Danio rerio: one gene and its partners. The main gene of each other region encodes a partner of the protein of the gene in region 6 in a complex. Links are inferred from orthologs where the notes say so. Each region holds a gene or a part of one and is shown on either strand. Other genes may lie near its edges. The genes, in order: mta2, mta3, mta1, cdk2ap2, cdk2ap1 and chd5.

Evidence for each region.
Region 1: chd5 (region 6) and mta2 share a complex: the UniProt entries of both Homo sapiens proteins name them as parts of the nucleosome remodeling and deacetylase (NuRD) repressor complex. The link is inferred for Danio rerio from reciprocal best matches to the Homo sapiens genes CHD5 and MTA2.
Region 2: chd5 (region 6) and mta3 share a complex: the UniProt entries of both Homo sapiens proteins name them as parts of the nucleosome remodeling and deacetylase (NuRD) repressor complex. The link is inferred for Danio rerio from reciprocal best matches to the Homo sapiens genes CHD5 and MTA3.
Region 3: chd5 (region 6) and mta1 share a complex: the UniProt entries of both Homo sapiens proteins name them as parts of the nucleosome remodeling and deacetylase (NuRD) repressor complex. The link is inferred for Danio rerio from reciprocal best matches to the Homo sapiens genes CHD5 and MTA1.
Region 4: chd5 (region 6) and cdk2ap2 share a complex: the UniProt entries of both Homo sapiens proteins name them as parts of the nucleosome remodeling and deacetylase (NuRD) repressor complex. The link is inferred for Danio rerio from reciprocal best matches to the Homo sapiens genes CHD5 and CDK2AP2.
Region 5: chd5 (region 6) and cdk2ap1 share a complex: the UniProt entries of both Homo sapiens proteins name them as parts of the nucleosome remodeling and deacetylase (NuRD) repressor complex. The link is inferred for Danio rerio from reciprocal best matches to the Homo sapiens genes CHD5 and CDK2AP1.

What each region holds. Positions count from the first base shown.
Region 1 is NC_133182.1:17,905,426-17,908,925, forward strand, and holds part of mta2 (metastasis-associated protein MTA2), read left to right. Parts: intron 1-1,373; coding exon 1,374-1,474; intron 1,475-1,581; coding exon 1,582-1,721; intron 1,722-1,805; coding exon 1,806-2,034; intron 2,035-2,125; coding exon 2,126-2,215; intron 2,216-3,023; coding exon 3,024-3,142; intron 3,143-3,229; coding exon 3,230-3,372; coding exon of another isoform or gene 3,373-3,386; intron 3,387-3,500. UniProt on the Homo sapiens protein: May function as a transcriptional coregulator. Acts as a component of the histone deacetylase NuRD complex which participates in the remodeling of chromatin.
Region 2 is NC_133187.1:27,050,415-27,053,914, forward strand, and holds part of mta3 (metastasis-associated protein MTA3), read left to right. Parts: intron 1-2,535; coding exon 2,536-2,628; intron 2,629-2,703; coding exon 2,704-2,886; intron 2,887-2,966; coding exon 2,967-2,998; intron 2,999-3,500. UniProt on the Homo sapiens protein: Acts as a component of the histone deacetylase NuRD complex which participates in the remodeling of chromatin.
Region 3 is NC_133192.1:39,468,717-39,472,216, reverse strand, and holds part of mta1 (metastasis-associated protein MTA1), read right to left. Parts: intron 1,884-3,500; coding exon 1,732-1,883; intron 1,434-1,731; coding exon 1,244-1,433; intron 1-1,243. UniProt on the Homo sapiens protein: Transcriptional coregulator which can act as both a transcriptional corepressor and coactivator. Acts as a component of the histone deacetylase NuRD complex which participates in the remodeling of chromatin.
Region 4 is NC_133176.1:43,113,650-43,117,640, forward strand, and holds the start of cdk2ap2 (cyclin-dependent kinase 2-associated protein 2), read right to left. Parts: upstream 2,801-3,991; 5' UTR 2,593-2,800; intron 2,321-2,592; 5' UTR 2,216-2,320; coding exon 2,161-2,215; intron 1,727-2,160; coding exon 1,635-1,726; intron 1-1,634. UniProt on the Homo sapiens protein: Acts as a component of the histone deacetylase NuRD complex which participates in the remodeling of chromatin.
Region 5 is NC_133185.1:50,699,559-50,703,721, reverse strand, and holds the start of cdk2ap1 (cyclin-dependent kinase 2-associated protein 1), read right to left. Parts: upstream 2,801-4,163; 5' UTR 2,124-2,800; intron 1-2,123. Other genes in the region: sbno1 (protein strawberry notch homolog 1), read right to left, coding at 2,838-2,980. UniProt on the Homo sapiens protein: Inhibitor of cyclin-dependent kinase CDK2. Also acts as a component of the histone deacetylase NuRD complex which participates in the remodeling of chromatin.
Region 6 is NC_133186.1:31,704,378-31,707,877, forward strand, and holds part of chd5 (chromodomain-helicase-DNA-binding protein 5), read right to left. Parts: intron 1,441-3,500; coding exon 1,249-1,440; intron 1,167-1,248; coding exon 1,048-1,166; intron 1-1,047. UniProt on the Homo sapiens protein: ATP-dependent chromatin-remodeling factor that binds DNA through histones and regulates gene transcription. May specifically recognize and bind trimethylated 'Lys-27' (H3K27me3) and non-methylated 'Lys-4' of histone H3.

The DNA of each region.
Region 1 (3,500 bases), on a different chromosome or scaffold from region 6:
TTATAATTACATAGTTTGCATTCATTTGTATATACATTTTATATTTTACATAGCTATTAATATGCAAAAATCAAATAGCCTAAATCATTGGATTTGTTTAAGGGTGCTTTCACACCTGTGAATCGATTCAGTTGTTCCGAAACAGAGATTAAAATTGTTACATTGTTGCTCTTTGCTCTTGGAGCGGTTCGCTTTCACATTGCAAAGTTTCTAATCGGACCAAAAGAGCTAAAACAAGTCACGTGCGAGTAAACTCTCCTCACATTGGTCAGAGTGTCAGGGTTTATTTTGCAGCGTCCCGCTCAGCTGTCAGGAGAGGTGGTGGTTTGGTGGTGATTGACAGGGTGCGCGCGTGTGACGTGTCTGAGGAGAGATGCGGTGGGGAGGGGTGAGAAGGGTGCGCGACGATGCCTATTTGAGGACTGGGAGAGAGACGCGAGATTACCGGGAGATCATCACTCGTTTGCGGGCATCCGGAGACTCGCGAAACTTCCCGCCCTACTCATAATTCTCTCTTCATATAGCCGTAAGCCTATTACATATCCATAAAACACTGTGATATAAGCGCGCTCGGATCGGATCGCTTTCTCACTGCAATCGAACCGCTCCAGGGTTCGTTTCAATCGAGCCGAGACCACCTCACTCAAGCGATCTCGGAGCGATTACTTTGGCGCGGAACAGAGCGCGATTGCCCTGTTCACATATGCCAATCGAACCGCGCTAACTGGGCAAACGAGATACGTTCCGAAACAAAAGTGTAGGTGTGAAAGCACCCTAATTCGTAGATTAAGTTATGTTGGCTATTTTTTTAATGGATCTTTTATAAGAACTGTAAATAATTTTTCCAATGAAAAAAAATGTTGGTTTGTGGGTTGCTCCGACTTGTGGCCAACAGTGGACATTTCAGAAAGTTTGCGGCTTCTTTCTCTACTTTTGCTAAGACACTGAGGTGTTTATAATGCAGATCCTGGAAAAGGGTTATCAGCACTGGTTTGGCATCAACTTGTCTGTTTCAAACTGTGACCATCAATGTCTTTATTTTCACTCCTTTCATTTTGCTTATTTAGCACAATACGTCTATAGTTGCACTTGTTACCGCCCGGCGGGTTAACAAATACATGTTGTACATTTATGCAGCAAAACTTAAAAAATACTAATTAAAAAAAAAGAATATTTTAAACCATTTAACTGATACATTAATTGATAAAATATGCATTCCTTCGGTTAACAGTTAATCAATTAATGCAAACACCCCTACTTTGTGTATTTTATACTTGCAATTAACTTTCGGCTGTGAGGTCTCTTGAAAATCTCAAATGGTTTGTACATGTCTATCTTCTGTTTACCAATCAAAATGTTCATCCCTCCTTCAGCACCAAACCCAACCCCAACCAGATCACAGCACCTGGAAATAAACCTGGCATGAACGGTGCCACCGGCTACCAGAAAGGCCTCAGTTGTGAAAGCTGCCACAGTGAGTCAACTCGCCACTGCAAACATCCACAAACAGTATTTAGATACAAGCTGAGTAATTCCCATGCACTATACTGTATGTGTTATCATGGCCTGTTGTTCTTGCAGCTGCCCAGTCTCAGCAGTGGTATGCATGGGGTCCTCCTAACATGCAGTGTCGACTATGTTCGTCCTGTTGGATTTACTGGAAGAAATACGGTGGTCTGAAGACTCCAACTCAACTAGAGGGCGCCACAAGAGCCAGCTCAGTATGTCAACACCTACGTCTTTTAAAAATATATACAGCCAGAAAATGAGTATATAGCTAAATGAACATCATATCTGTCCAATAGGAAGCAGCTCCGCGTGGTCACATGACCCGTCAGGAGGTGCAGGGAATGTCCCCGTTTACCAGCAGTGCGGGACGAGCTAAACTTCTGGCCAAAAACAGGCAGACCTTTATCCTGCAGACCACCAAACTCACTCGAATTGCCCGTCGTGTGTGCCAGGACATCCTGCAGTCTCGTCGAGCAGCCCGTCGCCCGTACGCTTCCATTAACGCCAATGCTGTCAAAGCTGAGTGTGAGTCTTTTTATGCAATATATAAATAAAAAAATGCTGTTTTATACAGTTGAATGAAGATGTGTCTGACTGCCTCTTTCTTTTCTTTTAGGTATGATAAGACTTCCCAAAGCAGCAAAGAGTGGTGTGAAAAACCGGCCTATTCCTCGACCATCCCTCATCAATATAGTTAAAGATTTGGGTATGGCTTCAGCATTATTTCATAATAGAGACATGCTTACATCTTATCAAATTAGCTGACTTTTAAAGCCTAAAGTGTACAGTCAGTTTTTATGTATATGCAAGTGTCTACACACAATGTGCATTGGCAGCAGGTATGCATATACTTTGTCTACTTGGTCTCAACACTGAAGCAGACCACTCGCTTGACATTTTGAAATAGATGAGATGAATCAAAACAAGAAGAATTATTACAGATCTTATTTAAAGGCTGTGTCCAAAAGCTCTAAAATGCTGCCTTTGGATACAGCATTCAAAGGTGTGAAGGTATTAAGGGCGTACTCAAACTATGTACAGTTGCCTTGAACTGGGCCAAAGCACGCTTATCGCCATTCCCATCTCCCCTGGCGGCCCGCACTCGCCTTACATTCGAGCCCTGGCACGCTTACGTCATCGCTGATGCGCTGTTCAGTAGAGAAGCGCTCTCGCTCAGCACAGTGGAGATTTCTTACTGTTCAATGACACTTGTCCTAAAAAAAAACTAACCAATATTCATTTTTAGTATAATCTGAGGGATTGTTTTTGTTTGTCAAGCCACTTCTTTTGATTAAATTAACACTGATGCGAATGTAGTGAGTTGCAACTGTAAATGTAAACACACACCTAAATAACTGCAAAGTATACTCTTGGCTTCGTGGTGGGGAAAAAACTACTCAAAAGTGAATAAGTATGGCTCAAGACTGATCATTTGACTCTTATTTATTATTTTACACAATTTTATTCAGAGTATTCAGAGTAATATGTACTCGTTTTATTTATTACTTTTTTAGCCATTCAAGCTCCTTTGAAACTCAAAGCCCCTCGAGGTGCTCCAACCCCGATCAACCGTAACCAGGTTAACCAGCCTCGCAGCGCATCTGCCCTGCTGGGCAAAAGGCCCTTCGACAATGTGAGTATCCCTTACTAATGTACATTAGCCTTTCCCAGAGGTAGAAAAAGTAGCGTACATTGATCTAAGCACCCTCATTGGCCACAGGCTGGAGGTCATTTGCTCTCCACCAACGGAAGACCGTTTGCAATGGGAATGAGAGCAGCCAACCAGTCCGTCATCAAGAGGCAGAAAGTCAGTCAAGGCGATGCTCCCAATCCTGTGGTGTTTGTGGCTACGAAAGACACCAGGTATGCGTTTCAGGGTGTGTTCACATTTGATTACTTTCATTCAGTTTATGTATTCTGATGCTGTTATGGGACGTTCACACAAAATGCGTTTTTCCTTTGCAACGTGCTACTTTCCTATTGTTTTCCAA
Region 2 (3,500 bases), on a different chromosome or scaffold from region 6:
GCTACCGTAAACCACAGTCCACACTTTGTCTCTTTAAAAATATAAAGCAATGAATATGACAACTTGGAGTCTTATGGACTCAATAGTCTGATTTCACATGGCCGCCATTTTTAAAGCAAAATCTAGTTCAAAATCAAAAATCAAAATCAAATCCTGCGGTGGGAAGAAACCTGGAAGTTTCGCCTGGCTGTATATCTTATCTGCGAAAAGAAAGTGAAAAATGTATTATTTCTCCACCTTTCGAGTGACCCAACGGTCCATTCTGAATTGATAGTGAAAATAAAAAAGGGACTTCAGACCTAATTTTCAGCTAAGCTAAGAGAAATGGCTACAGTTTGCTAACGTTATCTTTCCCAAACAAACGTTTTAGATGCCATTTATCAAACTCAAATTAATAAACGATTCTTTCACTATATTAGACTTGTCACGATACTGAATTTCAGGACCAATCGCTACTGAAATAAAAAAAAGTAAATTTCCTGCTAACATTTAAGCGCTCGTTCTTAAACACAGCTGATTTGCCATTGTGTTGACCAGTGCTCAACAGAAATTGCTGTGTTTGGCCTTGAAGGTCATCAGTTCACTTCATCGATGTTTTGCCAAATGCAAACACAAACGAGCAATCTGCTGATGACTCGACTGATCTTCATGGCTTTAAAATGCTCCAGTGTCGGTGTATCTGAGCGTTGAACTGATGACCCTCACGGCCAATCACAGTCATTTCTGTTGAGTACTGGTGAATACAATGGCAAATTAGCAGTGTTTAGGAACGCACTCAACTGCGCTTAAATGTTAGTGGGAAATGGATGTTTTTAAAACTTCAGTACCAGGAAAACACTATAGAGAGTGTGCTATAGAGGATTGGATTGTTTTATCACTCACCTGGTTACACATCCCCACTGTGTTTACCTGGTCTCTAAGGTAAATCATCAGGGGCGATCTTGATTAAAAGAAGACCTTAACTAATCGGTGTTAAAGCTAAACTCTGCAGTGCAATGGTCCTCCAGAAACCAGTTTGGACACCACCAATGCTAATCAATTAAATGCTGAGTTTGATCTCATATACTTTTTAAGTTTTTTTTTCAAATACATCAGACTACATACCCAAAATATGCAACACACTTTCAATCAAACCCAAAGAGGAAGTTACAGACCATGGTAGCCAGGCTTTGCTCAGAGGAGAGCAGTTCCCTCTTGACAGGCACTTGTAAATAGGTCAGTTTTACAGGGAGAGCTCATATCAACAGGGAAAGGGAGCGAGTCACTTGCTCTGCGTTTGTCCAATCAGAAGTTTTCAGCTTCTTTTTTTTTTTTTCTGCATCGTCCCCTCCCATCATGCGAAAACTCCATTCTATGCTTCCATTTCACCTCTGTCTCCACCCCAGACACGTCTGTATGTATCCCCAGCCATAAGAAGTTGTTCTGACATCTGTGTCCTGACGCACGAGGGACCTGGGTTGGGGGCATGCTGTTTGGTTTGTCTCTCTTTTATTTTTCTTTGTTTGAATGTCTTGTGGGCAACCAAAACACAAATAAAACCATGGCTGAAACCATCCTATCTGAGTCCTTGTAGTTTCATGTGTCTCGTGTACCTGTCCATCACTCTGTTGCACGCACTCCGACAGGCCGAGCCGAGCGGCAATCATGTGAAATCTCTGACAGCATGAGCTCCATCGGCTCCTGCCGTGCCTTCATAACTTGTTGACATGCACACACTCATGAGAAAGCTGCCGTGAATGCAACATTGCATTTGTTTTCCTCTTTCCAACCTCATTTAACATGCTGGCTGACCAGGTTATGTTCAACATCTTGCCTGCCCATCAGAGACTATGCATGACAATAATCAGGTTTACAACGTTGAAATGTAACGTGCAAATGAGACAATGAATTATGGGGGTTTAATACAACTCGGAGGTGAAGAATACAGTTTGTTTTACACGTTGAAGTTGGAGAAAACATCGTCTCAGCACTTCCCCAAAGGCACAGGTTTCATTCAATTTAAAGAATGGATTTTGTGTCAGTAGATAATGCATCACCCAATTCAACTCCTTTTTTTCCACATTCGATATAAATTGTTGAAGAGGTAATGAATTGAAGTTATATCGGTACATCTTCAAGACTGTTTCTCTCCAGGTTTGCCAAGACAACAAGAAGAACTGCTTGAAGAGAACAGGTTTAAACAACTTCCGACACCTCTGGACTTTTAATGAATTTTAAGGCAAAGTTGGAGAGATTTTAATGGGTTCAATGTGGTCCGATCAATGTTCTGGAGTTCAGCTGCAAGAAATATGTTCACTAGGGCTGAAAGAATGAACAGTGTAACAAATGAGATTTGACTCTGCCTGCTGCTTCCATGAAAATCGTTGTCCGGTCAGAAAGATTTGTCACCGCAGGGTTGGTGTTACGCTGCAACATCCATCAAGCCAGCCTGTTCAGAATGCCTCATGTTGGTGTCTAAGTGTGAATGTCTCTTTCATGCTCTTTGACTTGCTTCTATCTCCGTTTGTCTGTTCTGTACTGCTGGTTGATAAATAGATATGATCCGGGTGTCCGAGGGCATGACAGGGAGACCTTTGAAGCCCAAATCTGCTCCAAGGAGCACCCTGACCAGCGTCTTGCAGTATCTTGGTGAGCGACAAGAGATCTGATTTGTCTCCACTGAGTTGTACCTCTCAGATCACAGTGAATCTTCTGTCATTTCAGAGTCCCGTCCAGCAACTCATGTTCAACGGCCTCATCGCACCCCTGGCCTACAGGTGCAGCCTCCACGACGCCTGCTTTCTTCTCTTCCAAGTCATGGCCCGCTTGGAATGTTGGGAAAACGAAGCTACCATCACCACAGCAGGGTTGAATCTGCAGAAAGGAGGGCTGGTGCTACAGGACAAGGTGGGTTTACTGTTAAAATGGAAACTAAAATGGAAAGAAAATGTGTAGATTTCTTACTACATACCTCTTTTTTGTCGTAGAAAATCCAGCTCATATTGTGGGGCCCATTCTGGTAAGTATCAGACTTTATTTATTGGTAACATTGGGATTGACTGAAGCCAGTTTCTGGAATTTGCTGGTGCTTTTTATTTCTCTTAAAATTGAAAGGTTACATATTAGATAACATCTTACTGGCTTTTGTGTTGTAACCAGGCAACAAGGCCACAGAATGATCGTTTGTGGGAACATCATAGCATGTTGAGGACATGACATGGTAGCTCGTGACCACAAGATCTTAGAGTAGGAACATATTCACATCCAGAGCAATCAGAACAGGCAGGAAATTGCCAGGGCCCCTTATTTTGAGGGTGCCCCCTTGGGATTAGCATTGTGCCTAGAGGGGTAATAAATGGTAATTCTACTCAGGGGGACCCACCCTGGAATGTGATCATACTGTACCAAGAGGGAAGGAATATTTGTATCGTAGGGGAACCACCCTTGTCCAGAAGTCATGGCCTTAAGTTGTTAAAGAAACATGGGTTTTGCAACTGTGGAGGAAACAGGGATAGAGTGCT
Region 3 (3,500 bases), on a different chromosome or scaffold from region 6:
ACAAGCAGATGATTTCCCCCAACGAAATGAAGGCTGTCAAATATGCTTTTATTTTTCATATTTTTAATGAAATGTAATACTTCTTAAACTCATTACAACAAATAAAACTTAGTTTTTAAATACATTACATTACATTAAATGAATGTAAACAAAAGAGTAAATAATATATTTTTAATTTTTCCAATAATTCTAATATTTAAAAAACATTCATGAGCTTTATGAAATTATATTAATAAAACAGGACAATTAATATAAAGAATATAAAAATCTAATTTTTATATTAAATCTAATTCAAGCAAACTTTTAAATTCCTTAAATGTTGCTAGCAATTATAGAAAAACACAGGGATTTTCACAGAAAATGTATCAAAACAATAATAAAAATATATTTTTTTTAATTATAAAGTTCAAATTGCTAAATGTAATACAATTATGACCTCCTAAAATCTATATATATATATATATATAGACAACACCGGCATCGCGATCCTCCGCCCGCCCCCATTGCAAATTCGCTCACGAAAAGTACACACTCAGGCCCTGTTTACACTGTCTTTGTTTTTAAATGGCATTTTAGAACGACAACGATTTGAGATCCACAATGGCGTGTAGCATTTCTGAGCAGCCCTCCTTCCTCTCTACCTCTGACACACACACACAGACACAGACGCACACACACAGCCATGGGCTCCGAGACAGCGGGTTCAGGCAGTCAGAGGATTAGTAGACTGCTTCAATCTTTTACTCACTTGTCATTTTAGCGCACACCTCAGATACTGTTGGCTGGTTCCTGTTAGTTGTGCGTCTTTTTTACCGACGCCACTATAACGACACAGATCACTGCCTTTTCACGAGTCCCGCAGAAAAAGTGATTGACAGGTGGTAATTATGTGTGTATCTTGCCTTTATTCATTTACTGTATGATTTGTTTATGGGTAAAACAAAGACCATGCAGGTCAGGTAGTTTAAACGGTAGGCTACAAATAATTAATTGGTCATTAATTAATTAATGATTCATAATCGAAAATCGAATCGTGCCTTTAGAATCAAAAATGTAATCGAATCGAGGATTTGGAAGATCGTGACACCCTTAATATATATATATTATATATCTTAACAATTAGATTTTAGTAGTACTTTATAATTAGTTTTACACAGTTTACATCAGCTCATACTTCACACATAATTTCCACAATAAGCAACTGCATCTAATGAACTGAATCTTCAAATATGTGCCTACTCACACTCAGCTTTGATAGCGATGGTGTTGACAGGTGTGTACGGGTGTCTGGCCAAGTATTTGGATCTCAGCAGGTCCTGGCAGACGCGTCGAGCGGCTTTCGTCATCTGAGACGTGTGCAGGTAGAAAGCCTGCCTGGTCTTAACGGCAAACTTGGGGCTTCCGCTGTGTCTCACGGGCAAACCGTGAGGACTCTGAACACAGACAGAGATATGAAAGTCAAGCTCTTGCTGACAGAAGAATCTAAATACTGCATATCTTAAAGGAACGAACTCCACTTTAAACATAGATGAAAGACAGTTTGGCTCATTCGCTCTTTCAGGGCGTTCATTTAACAGTCACAAAGAGGTGTAATAAAACAGAATTGCACAGCAAAAGAGAAAACAGACTGAATAAAACAGACTTGGGGGCAGAGAGAGAAGAAGAGGATTTCATGTCAAGAACTGCAGCTTGTTTTTTATTTTTTTTGGAGAACATCCACTTTTCACCCACCATGTTGTTGCGGTTGGGTCCGGGCCGCTCTCCATCTAGTCTGGTTGGCATCTTCAGACCTCCGTACTTTTTCCAGTAGGTCCAGCAGGAGGCACAGAGTCGGCACTGCATGTTGGGAGGACCCCACGAGTACCACTGATACGAGCTGGTGGCTAAATATAAAAAAAAAAACAATAACACAAATTAAGATCCTTCCTACATCACTCTCTGCTCTACTCGCTGTAGTGTGAACCTTTACCTGAGCAAACATTAAAGGTAGGAAAGGCAAGGCAAACTTTATTTATAGAGCACAATTTTACACAACCGTAGTTGATCCAAAGTGTTCTACAACAAAATCAACTAGACAATAAAACAAAAAAAAACTGTTATTAAAAATACAAGGGAATGTATATGTTCAAAAGTAATACTAAAATAAAAATAAAAAATAACATGCATGCGTCACTCAAAGGCAAGAAAGTAAAAATAAGTCTTTAATTTAGATTTAAAAGCATCCAATGAAGGAGAAATCCTGATGTTTAGAAGGAGACTGTTCCAGAGCCTTGGGGTCGCAACACAGAAAGCTCGATCACCTTTTGATTTGCAGCGAGACCGAGGGACAGACAGAAGAAACTGGTCATGGGATCTTAATGGTCTACAAGCTGAATAAGGCCTAATAAGTTCACTGACATAGGCCAGGGCAGAATTGTGAATTGTGTATAGAGCAACCAAAAACTAAACCACTTGAGAATGAGTAAATAAGTAATAAGTAACTATTCACTTTTGGGTGAACTATCTATTTAAAGTAAACAGAACTAAAAAACATAAACTTAGTCTTAATTTTAAATTAACCGAAACAATCAGTGCTTAGGTTAATTTTTAAGATGGCCTGTAACTGAAAACATAAGGGTCGCACAATGGACCAAAAGCGGCGCAATTGTTGTTTGCTAGTTTCAGCTTCAACGTTTTGCCCCACGCTGTTTAAATAGCAATTGCGTTTGCGCTCTTATGTGCGACCATAGGCGTTCTAGTCTAAAAAAGGTTTTAGACCATATGGGGCATAGCATGTGTATTAGGATATAACTCGTTTATTGACCACACTTCGTTATTATTGGTCATTTATTTCTTTGCTGGAAATTAGAACCAAATTTAGAAGTAGTGTTGAAACAAATCTTTGAGCTTAACAAACTAAATTAATTATGAATAGGCTAATGGATGTCTGTGCGTGCAACATGTTTTCTTAGCGAAGGTAAAGAATGAGGAGGCTCATTCTCTCATTCTCACATGGCAGAAGAGCTGTTTAACTGTTTTCTCGTCATGGTGCAACGCAACTGAATCTTAAAGGAAATGGGAGAAGACACTCTAATTGGTTTATTCTCAAAACACACCCATAACTCATTAAGAGAATAAGTTCAACTCTGTTAGACCATGCACCGCAGAGAATTTTTCCATCCTTAAAATAGCAAAAGTGGATTTTGACACGTCCTCAATGCTTTTGCGCCCTGCGCTTTGGACTTTGCGCATGGATCGTCAAAATAGAGGACCAAGTCTTTAAACTGTCCACTTCGAAAACAAATCTTGCTGCCTTTATTTTTTTTAGTTGAATCAAATGAACTTTTCTAGTCATCTCAACCTAAATCAATTAAACTGACTAAAAATCTTAAGTTAAACTTTGTGGGTTTTAAGTTGAAAACTGACTAGTTTTCTAAAAAAAAGGTAACATTAAGATATTTGTTGTCTTTTTGTCAACTTTTTTTAGTGTACATACAGTATGCATTTATGCATGTTTATTC
Region 4 (3,991 bases), on a different chromosome or scaffold from region 6:
TCAGGTCACACTGATGACTGAAATAACGATAATGAAAATTCTGCTTTGCCTCTAAAGAAATAAATGACATTTTGGAATTAGGACTTCCAAGCAATCAAGCAATTGCTGATAAGAGAAGAGTGCGACATAGCAGAAAAACAGTGGAGCTTTTATTATGCCACAGTCAACCTCTTCCTTTTTTCCCCCAAATTGTGATCATGTGAAGCAGCACAGCAGTTTTATCATACTAAATAAATTTTAGGCTTCTGTTATACTGCTGCTCTGATTAGTCTAATAAAATATGCGACATAAAACAAGGACCGTCATTTTCAGTTTTCTATAAAAGCAAAACATAAATCAAGGGTATATGTACAGTGGCCGAGAGAGCTCAATGTGCTGCAATTTAAGTAAACACGCGCAATTACAAAACTCGCAAGCAAATTTAGTAAAGATCCTTATCCATTTGACAGCTGTGCTGCGAATTCTCCCAACGCAAACATAAAAAAAAATAAATAAATAAAAAACGCACTGCTTTTTTAACACAAAAAAAATAATAAAACAGCTGCATTCTCACAACGCAAACAGTTTAAGAAAACGCACTGCATTTTTTACAACCCAAACAATTTACGAAAACGCACTGAATTCTCAAAACGTAAACAATTTACGAAAATGCACTGCATTGACACACTCAAACAATTTACAAAAACGCACTGCATTTTGTCACTCAGTTTACGAAAATGCACTGCATTTTCTCACAATGCAAACAATTTACGAAAATGCACTGCATTTTGTCACACACAATTTAAATAACGCACTGCATTTTGTCATACTCGTTTTCAAAAATGCACTGCATTTTTTACAATAAAACAATTTATACGAAAACGCACTGCATTTTGTCACACTCAAACAATTTACGAAAACGCACTGATTTTGCTCACAACACAAAAAACTTGACTCAACGAAAATGTTTCAAGGTGACCCAAAAACTGTGTCGTAAAAGGTTTGCGTTGTGTGAAAATGCAGCGTATTTTATTATTTGTTTGCGTTGTGCGAAAATGCAGCACGTGTGCTGTCAAACCGATGAAGATCTTTTCTCAATTTGCTGCCGTTTTTTGTAATAGCTATTTTTTTGTTTTTTGTAGTTTCTTAAATTGCAGCACGTTCAGCTCTCTTTGCCACCAAATGTATGACATAATTAGCATGGCAACACTGGACACGGTTGTGTCAAGTTAAAACTGCTCACTTCTCTCAATTTCTACTTAACATTTGAGATAAAGCAAGTACACAAGTTAGCAAAAAAACACTTTTACTGGGTTTTGGATATTTTAATTACAAGAACACTTACATTTAATCTTAACATAATATGAAACCAAAACATACACTGCCTCATTTATGCCCCAATGCCTATATAAATGTGTTAATTGTTCATAAAATTGTATTATAAAAATGTTAAACACAACATTACAGCAATTATATTATATTCATTAAATAATGCAGCCACAGTGAGCCAAGGAGGCTTTTCCAAAAACATCTGAAAAACGTAGTTCAAAATTTTGACTGGTCGTGTCAAAAAGAACAGAAATGTACAGGTTTGAAATTAATCATTGTTCCAATACAGCAAATTGCAAAAAAACCCCAATGTCATCAAAACATGCCTGTACAAAGCCCATCGATGGAGGACCGAAGTCACTAAATGCTGGTCTAAAGTTTGAAGAGGAGGCCAGTGATGGAGAAGAGCCACAAGATCCTGAAACCAGAGAACAAGATAAAGACCAATCACAAATCAAGGAAATGTCAAAAGGCCAAATTCGACCAATGAAACGTTGCCACCCAGTGTGTTTGTGTGTGTAAGGAAGTGAGGAGAAACAGAGGCAAGACTGGGACACACAGATGTGATGGCACAACACTAACACTGGGGAAACAGTTATGGTTTTAAAAATAAACGCTGCAGGGCGCGGTTAGCAGCACGTTAAACCACATTTATGTAATGAGCAAGACAGATGGCCATGGCTCCTTTAACTCCTCCCCCTTTTATCCGTGCCTCTGACCTCTTTTACTGTAGGTTCACTGACCCTTTCCTTGGGATTAAAACGGGGCGTTTAAAAAGATGATAGGCGTAAAATACCTCAAAATGAAAGAAGCACGTAAAAATGAATGAACAGAGAGCACAATGAAACTCACCTGGAGGAGTGTGGTTGGAGCCGGTGGGTGCGGGGGCGATCGGCTTGTAACTCATATTTACACCGCCGTCGACTGTAACCTCGCGTGATGAAAACTTTCTGCTTATCCCCCGAATGTAATCTCGTTGGGCTTTGGCGTCCGAAGCAGGAACGGCGTTGACCTAATGCGAACACAAAGAGCAGATGTATAGATATGCATAGTGAGGTGAGACAAGATAAAGGCTAGCGGACAGCAATGACGGTCCCCTCTCAACTTAACCGGCTCGAAAACCGCGACTTGTCCATTTAAATCGCCCGCATTTGACAGACTTTTCACTATTTTGTGAAAATGTACACCACGTGCAGCGTTCATAGAGTTGTAAACATATAGTTTGTGGTTTAAAGACGGCAGGATGCCTGTGGTGATTTATGAAAGGTACATTTAACAACCCACCTCTTCCGCAAACTCGCTCGACAGCGACACGCGCTAAATATCCAACAAGCCGACAAATGAAACCGACAACAACAACCGGGAACACTTCACGACTCGCTGAACGGTTAAATGTGGTTTCTGTTCGCCGGTTTGTAGTTGTTCGGGGAGGTAAATATGAATATTAACGCACGGGAATAGTTTCTGTGCGCGGAGGTGTCGGTTCTTCTCCTCTCTTCCTGCGCGTGCTAGCCTGCTATGTTATTTTCCCATGATACTCGGCAAAAAGAGTGACTGCGTCATCAGGCACGCGCCTCTGCCGCCTCTCTCTCCCCTTCTCCCTCTCTTTTCCACAATGAAGATTTCATTCTGGATTTTTCTTGTTTGTAGAAAGTGGAAAACAGTGAGTTGGTAATATAAGCGTGTGGAATGTTGATAGTCGAAGGCGTTTATTATTATTATTATGATTATGATTATTAGATAATATTATTTTGTAATTGATGAAATAGAGCCAGCTAGAGCAAACTATGCATTATTGTATGCCTGTTTGGAAGTCTTTAATGCCAAAGTGATACATTAAACACACATTTTGCAGTCTACAATTTTTTTTATTATTTATTTTGTAAATGCGTATTTTTTATATATATTGCATTTTATCATGTATGGCCAATATAACTGTAGTACTTCACAATCATGTGAAGGTCTCTCCACACCACCACCACACCAGGGTTGTCACTAGATCGCACACGGCTTTGGCAGAAGCTAGCGAGAATGATTTATATTATTTATTTTTACATTTCCCATTGTATTTTGTTATTGTCTACCCGCACCCCAATCCTACACCCAATCTTACTGACCCAACAGTACAAAAATGTACTGTTGAAAAATATTAATTTATTAAAAACATTAATTATTGTTATAGAATCACAAAAAAATGCTGCTATATTTATGTGCATATCTCACTTCCGGCCGGCCACGTACCTAGACTGTACGCCACAACAGACACAGGACTACAGCGTCACTGGGCTCACCACACCCCAGCTATTGGTGGAGTGGCGAGACAGTGATAGACCCAATTCGGTGGATGGGGATGATTGGGAGGCCATGATGGGTAAGGGCTAATTGAGAGAATTTTGGCGATTACCCTGGGATTAAACCCCTACTCTTTTATGAAAAGTTTCATTAACCAAAGAGAGTCAGGACCTCAGTTTAACATCTGAAAGACGGCACTCACTGACAGTTGTGTCTTAGAGCTGTAATTGGGCCATAAAAATTAGGCTCGACAGGGCCCAAGCCCAACAGAATTCGGCGTGAGCCCGACAGGGACATTTTGATTGACAGCTTTTTAAAAGGCCAAACCCGTTTACAGCCTGACATTATTCAAATGTGCACAGGCACACAGCTCGTTTGCCTTTTTTTCAAG
Region 5 (4,163 bases), on a different chromosome or scaffold from region 6:
CATTTACTCACCCTTTAACTCTCACACCACCTTTATTTCTTCTGCTGAACACCAAATACGATGTTTTGAAGAACGCTGGAAAAGGGTAACCATTGACTTCTACTGTATTTGTTTCACACTATTGAAGTCAATGGTTACAGGCTTGTAACATTTTTAAAGAGACAGTACACTCAAAAATCAATATTTACTCACTTTTGACTCTGACTATTCTGTTTGAAGATGTTAAAAAAAAAAAATGTTGAAAACCGGTAACCATTGACTGCCATAATAGAAAAGCAGACACTATGGTAGTCAATGGTTACAGGTTTCCAGCATTCTTCAAAATATCATCTTCAGTGTTTGACAGAGAAGTGAAGCCTATAACAGTTTAACACACTCTCGGGTGAGTGCATTGTCAGTTATGGATGAACTGTCCCTTTAAAATTCTTCAAATACGCCAGAATTGTTTTTTCACCCTCTAAATATGAAATACGTGATTTATAGACGCATAAACTCCTCCACGTGACGACATCGTGTCTTACAACTTTTTACCTTGCCACAGCCGCATCAGTGTCTGGATGGAAAAGGTTTCAGTAATTTAGGGCGGGGCTAGAAATAATTTAAAGTTGAACTGTCTGTGTTCAAGGAAAAGCTATGAGTAATTTAGGGCGGGGCAATCATTAATTTAGGGTGGAGCTATCAGTAACTTAGGGTGAGGCTATCATTAATTTAGGGCGGAGCAATCATTAATGTAGGGTGGAGCTATCAGTAAATTAGGGTGAGGCTATCATTAATTTAGGGCGGGGCAATCATTAATTTAGGGTGGAGCTATCAGTAACTTAGGGTGAGGCCATCATTAATTTAGGGCGGAGCAATCATTAATTTAGGGACGGAGCTATCAACAATTTAGGGCGGGGCTATCATTAATTTAGAGTGGAGCTATCAGTAATTTAGGGCGGGGCTATTATTAATTTAGGGCAGGGCAATCATCAATTTAGGGTTGAGCTATCAGTAATTTAAGGCGGGACAATCATTAATTTAGGGTGGGGCTATCAGCAATTTAGCGAGGGGCTATCATTCATTTAGGGTGGGGCTATCAGTAATTAATGGTGAGGCAATCAATAATTTAGGGCGGGACAATAATTAATTTAGGGTGGGGCTATTAGTAATTCAGGGTGGAGCTATCAGTGATTTAGGTTGAGGCTATCATTAATTTAGGGCGGAGCAATCATTAATTTAGGGTGGAGCTATCAGTAATTTACGGTGGGCTATCAGTAGTTTAGGGTGGGGCTATCAGTAATTTAGGGAGGGGCTATCAGTAATTTAGGGAGGGGCTATCAGTAATTTAGGGAGGGGCTATCAGTAGTTTAGGGTGGGGCTATCAGTAATTTAGGGAGGGGCTATCAGTAATTTAGGGAGGGGCTATCAGTAGTTTAGGGTGGGGCTATCAGTAATTTAGGGAGGGGCTATCAGTAATTTAGAGAGGGGCTATCAGTAATTTAGGGAGGAGCTATCAGTAATTTAGGGTGGGGCTATCAGTAATTTAGAGAGGGGCTATCAGTAATTTAGGGTGGGGCTATCAGTAATTTAGGGCGGAGCTTTCAGTAATTTAGGGTGGGGCTATCAGTAATTTAGGGCTGAGCTATCAGTAATTTAGGGTGGGGCTATCAGTAATTTAGGGCGGGGCTATCAGTAATTTAGGGAGGGGCTATCAGTAGTTTAGGGTGGGGCTATCAGTAATTTAGGGAGGGGCTATCAGTAATTTAGAGAGGGGCTATCAGTAATTTAGGGAGGGGCTATCAGTAATTTAGGGAGGGGCTATCAGTAATTTAGGGAGGGGCTATCAGTAATTTAGAGAGGGGCTATCAGTAGTTTAGAGAGGGGCTATCAGTAATTTAGGGAGGGGCTATCAGTAATTTAGGGAGGGGCTATCAGTAATTTAGGGTGGGGCTATCAGTAATTTAGGGCAGAGCTTTCAGTAATTTAGGGTGGGGCTATCAGTAATTTAGGGCAGAGCTTTCAGTAATTTAGGGTGGGGCTATCAGTGGTTTTCAGTCTTACAGATGAGACCTAAAACAAAGCTCCTGACTATCTGTGCTCATTAATAACCTCAGGGCACTTCTGGTAAAGAGTAGGGGTGTAACCTCGGTGTCCTGGCCAAACTCCCTCCATCAGCTCCATCCACTGAACTGGCTCCATCACTGTCTCTCCACTCCACCTCTAGCTGGTGTGTGGTGAAGCACTGGCGCTGTTGTCCTGCACACTGGTGGTGTTGTCGTCATGTGTATGAACTGTATAAATGCACATGATTCACTTACTCTCACTTATAACTGCAGATGAACTGCAGAATGTAAAGGTGAGCAGGCGTGCCGTCTCCTCTCCTCCACTGAGCTGAACACAACAGAGGAGCACATCACATGAACCACAGCCGTCAAATCGAGGTAATCCACAAGATTTATTGGTCAAATGCAAGAGGTAGAGGTCTTGCAGTCAGTTATATTCTCTGTACATCAGATCCGTCAGTAGTGCAACTCGTGCAGAGATGAAGGACACGCAGAGCAGAAGAACATCACATGTCAGATATACACGGAGAGAGAAGAGTCCAACATGTACAGCAGACGAGCTCCGGGAGCCGCTCCTCCACACAACAACACAAAAACAAGAACCATTAAAAAGCAAGAGTTGGAGAGGCTCCAGCCGGCCCGCCACACGCTCTCAGACGGCCAGGAGACAGAGCCACGTCCTGAAGCGGAGCTGATCCATGCAGAGCGTCTGTCCGCATGCTGGAGGAGAAGCAGACCCCGGGGGACTGTGGGAAACCCTGAGCGCAGTCGGTCTGTCCTGTGTGTGTGTGTGTGTTACGTGAGAGGTGTGTGTGTGAGGCTCTGCGGGTGCAGCTGCTGCCATAAATGTTGCTGCTGCACCGCCAGCTGCTGACTCTGATCTGATGATGACAGGATGTTGACCAGCGGAGACACACAGTTCTGCGGGATGATCAGACCTGAGGAAAACACACACACACACACACACACACACACACACACACACACACACACACACACACACACACACACACACACACACACACACACACACACACACACACACACACACACACACACACACACACACGGAGGAGGAGTGAGGCTCTGGCTGTGTCCCGAATCACACACTTCTGCACTGTATAGCATGTTAACAGCGTCTCTGCAGATATCATGATGTCAAATTTAAGACCTTTTACGATCTTTTTAAGACCATTAAGTATTAAATTTAAGACCTATATCGCAATATCAAGAACACACGACAGAAAATGTAGAAGCACAAAATTAGGGGTAAAATAAAGTTATTTAGATTGAACAGTAGTAAAGTCAGGTTAAATGCACCAGTGAACTACAGAAAAACAAACATCTAAATGCAGATTTATACTTTCACCTGGCGCCGCACAACTCACAAAACAGATTAAGACTTTTATACTCGACACGTTCACCATTGAGATATATTTTTGACAGGGGGCACTCCAAAACAACAGACAGTAAAATCAGACGAGTAAAAAGATCATCATCATCATCACTGAAGATGTTTTTGAAGGCCTCTTTTTTGTTTTAACAAACTCATCCCTCAGAGTTTTCCCAAAGTTTTACAAAAGCTTTCCTCCTTTCCCATGGCTGTTGCAGTTTCTAGCCAATAATTATTGGTCAATCTGGCAAGCAGAAGTGTAGCTGTGATAGAAAATAGGTAAAGACTTGATTATGTATTATAGCCTACTGTACTGTTCACTCTTCAAATAAATCCCACTATCAGTCCCATTTTATCACTGAAATAAAGTGCACACGTGTCTGCTGTACAGTGTTGTGTGAAGTACAGTAAAGTGCTTCAGTTACTCTGTTGTGGTAATACTACAGTTGCTATGGTAAGTGTATAATAAACTCCCCAGTGCTTAAGTTTTTTACAATATATTGTATATTATTCTACAATTCACCACACTTTACTGTAGTAAAACTGCACTGTATTTCATTTATCAGTTCACTATTCTTAACACTACAGTACGCTGAAGCATCTCTGGAAAAGCACGAGAGGAGTGCGACCGAGCGAGAGCAGATCATTCGCACGTGAGCAGCCGGTGTTTTGAGAGCTCGCGAGCAGTTTTGTCTATGAAGGAAACCGGTGCGTGAGCAGAGATTCGC
Region 6 (3,500 bases):
CTTTTCAAAGGGCATCCAGCAAACTCCACACAGAAACGGTTTAGCTCACCCAATTAACCTGTACCACATATTTTTGGACTTGTGGGGGAAACCGGAGCACCCAAAGGAAACCCACGCCAACACAGGGAGAACATGCAAACTCCACACAGAAATGGCAACTGACTCAGCCGAAGCTCGAACCAGCGACCTTTTTGCTGTGAGGCGAACGTGCTTCTCACTGTGCGACCGTGCAGCCCCAATAATATATTTACGAACAATCAAAATGAAGTGAATAAATTACCTCTGTCATTCTTAAATATACCTATGAGTGTACTTGGATGTTTCTGAACATCGTTGTTTTAAATAATTAAAATACAGAGAAAGCTTAAGATTGAGATGAGAAATTGATGAAGAAATCTTCAAGAACTTCCAATCAAACACAGTTTATTTTGGTATTTTAGTTTATTTTAATTACATTTATAATAATGTATTTTAACAATAATAGATTATGTAATTATTTTTTCTGTAAAATGCTGTATTATGTTATATATATTAATATTATTAATGGTGTTCATGTTCCTATTTGTTATGAATTGACAGTATGTATCAGGTATTTCCATTTAAGTAGTAGTAGCTAAAGTGAACTAATTCTGACCGATTTTGTCTTTCATTTAAAAATGAACATTATCGATCTTGAAAAAAGCACTAAAATCAATCAGTATTGGCGTTAATATCAGTATAGTTCAAATTGTAAAGAAAAGAATCTGTTTCATGTCAGATTTTATTTATTATATCATCCATCACTACTCAAAGAGGCCTGTGCAATGAAATCGCCAGCTTATACTAACAGAGTGTCTATGAAATAAAAGATTATCCTGGTTCCAGTAGACAAGTGGGTCTGACAGTACATCGTGTTTCAATGCCTCTTATTAGAAAACCTGTCATCATAATGTCATTACTTCATACTGGCATTAGCATTTGCCAGAAGGAACATTTTAAAATAGAACAAGACATGTTGACAGCAGGGCATTAGAACGTCCACGCAGAAGGAAAACTTTGAAATCCTACCTAAGAAACTGGCTGAAGGCTTTGTAGTTGGTGATAGTCTTATAATCGTCCTCCGAGAAGGCATACTGGACATCTTCGAGACCCCACTCTTGCATTAGCTGACTGGACGACTTTGGTTCCTGTTATCACATGAAAAAAACTAGCATTCATTTATTTTCATGATTAGTGATAAAACAGAACTGAGCATTTCTACAGGAGAACCTTCATGTTTCCATCATCGTCATCGTCCTCATCCTCATCATCCTCTTTCTTTCGCTGTTTCATTTTCCTCTCTTTCTTCTCTCTGGGCTTCTTCTTTTTCTTCTTCAGGGCGCTGTAGGTGCTGCTCTCGCTCCCCGACCTGTGGCCATGATCCTCTCTGTCTGACATGTCATCCAGCCCGCTGGGAAGCCCCTGTGAATACCAGTAAAGACATTAAAGAAGAGGAGATTGACCACTTGTATAAAAATAAATTCAATTCAATTTAAGTTCAATTTAAGGGACAGATTCAATTGCATTACAATCAAAATCTGAAAGTTAAGGAGTTGTGTATAGGGCGGACATTATATAGAAACATAGTAAACATGTAGTTACAGTGGGTAACCGTTGATTTGAAATTTTCCCTGAATGACAGCAACAACCAAAGAATCCATATTTGAAAAGAAAACAATAAGTTTACAAATTAAGTTTAAGTATTTAATTTGAACTTTTCTGTGGCTGCAGAAAAGAAAGGCCAGGAAAGCTGGAATAAAAAGCTACTACTTGCATTCCTGTCTCCACATACGCCACATGTCATCGTCTCAAACCATGTCTCATTGCAATTTGTAACTTTTTGTGTTTTGGTGAATAACAATGTAAAAATGACAACAAACGCTTTTATGTTACTTTAACTTATTTAAGTAAGTTATTCAGGTTTCAACTAATTATTTTAGCTACACAAGGTTTAACTTAACATTTTTAGCCAGTTTTACTAGTGCAAGTTAGGGTAACTAAGCAATTTAAGGAAGTAAGAATTTTTAGTGACTAAATTTTTTAGTGACCAAAGCCTCATTCTCACTACGAGCGACTAGCAGTGGCAAAGCGATAAGTGTCAGCTTATTTCAACAGAGAGTGAGCGACTTCCGCCGACCTTTGTCTATGCGAGCGACAGAAATCCTTGGCGACCAGGTGGGCATGTCGAGTGATGCAATAAAGTCCTTTAACTTTATGCAAATAAAGATCGACTTTCTTGTGTGACAGCAAATAGAAGCATCAGTGGAGCTCACGTGATCCTCTCTCAGCTCAGAGTCCAGTTGTAATCATCGTGCTGTAGACCTACACAGACCTGCATTTGCAGCAGGTCGCCACCCAGAGTGACAGGCAGCTACAAGGTCGCTGCTAGTGTCAATATGGCAAAAATTGCATAAATTCGCAAAATCTCAGTTGAAACTAACTAATATCCAAAAAGTTCATGTGAATTATGGCATAAAAACTGGACAATGAGCCCAACTACTAAAAATGTTGATGACAATCACTTTATTAAACAACACAATTTTTACCATCTAAAGCAGGGGGGCATCAATCTCAGTCTTGGAGGGCCGGTGTCCCTGCAGGGTTTAGCTCCAACTTGCTTCAACACATCTGCCTGGGTGTTTCAAGTAATCAATAGTAACACCTTGATTACCTTGTTCAGGTGTGTTTGATTAGGGTTGGAGCTAAAATCTGCAGGGCACTGCCCCTCCAGGAACAAGTTTGGTGACCACTGATCGAAAGCATTACTAAATGAAAAATAACAAAACAAAATATAGCAAACTGTTAATTAGCCATTTTTTATTGTGCACTAAATTGCCAAAAAAGAATCCTTTGTAAGGATCTTTTGTGCAAACATGAGCTACTGAAAATTCCTTCTTAAAACATTTTTCAGGAAAAAGTACAATTTATGATACCCTTGCTGTCAAATACTAAAGCCGATTTAAACTCACTGTAATGCAGTCTTTTTAGATTTAGTTTGCTTTGTAAATTTTTTCATTAAAGCCAGTACGCCACTGGCAGTCAAACTAAAACTAATCGCAAAATAGATTTTTATACATAGGAACATTAAAACAGAGGCCCTTATAATTTGTAATCACCTCACATCCATAGATTTTAATTTAAGCCATACATTTTCTATGGCATAACTACTGATTGTGGTCCAATTTCTTATCGGACATTTTAAACAATGTACTCCTATCAAAAAGTGCTAGGTTTATTGGAAAAAAAGTATTGTAAAAAAGGTTATGTACTTATAATATTAAAGTTGTATTGCTATTTAAGTGGGGAATTTAGTGAGATGGTTAAGTTTAAGATTAACAATGTAACTCATTTTTATTAAAACATTTTTAATAAAAACAAATGTAAATACATGCATTTACATAATGATCATTGGGTATCACTTTGTTTTAAGGTGCCCTTACTACATGTTTCATGTACTAACTCTAATAATTACAAATAAATAT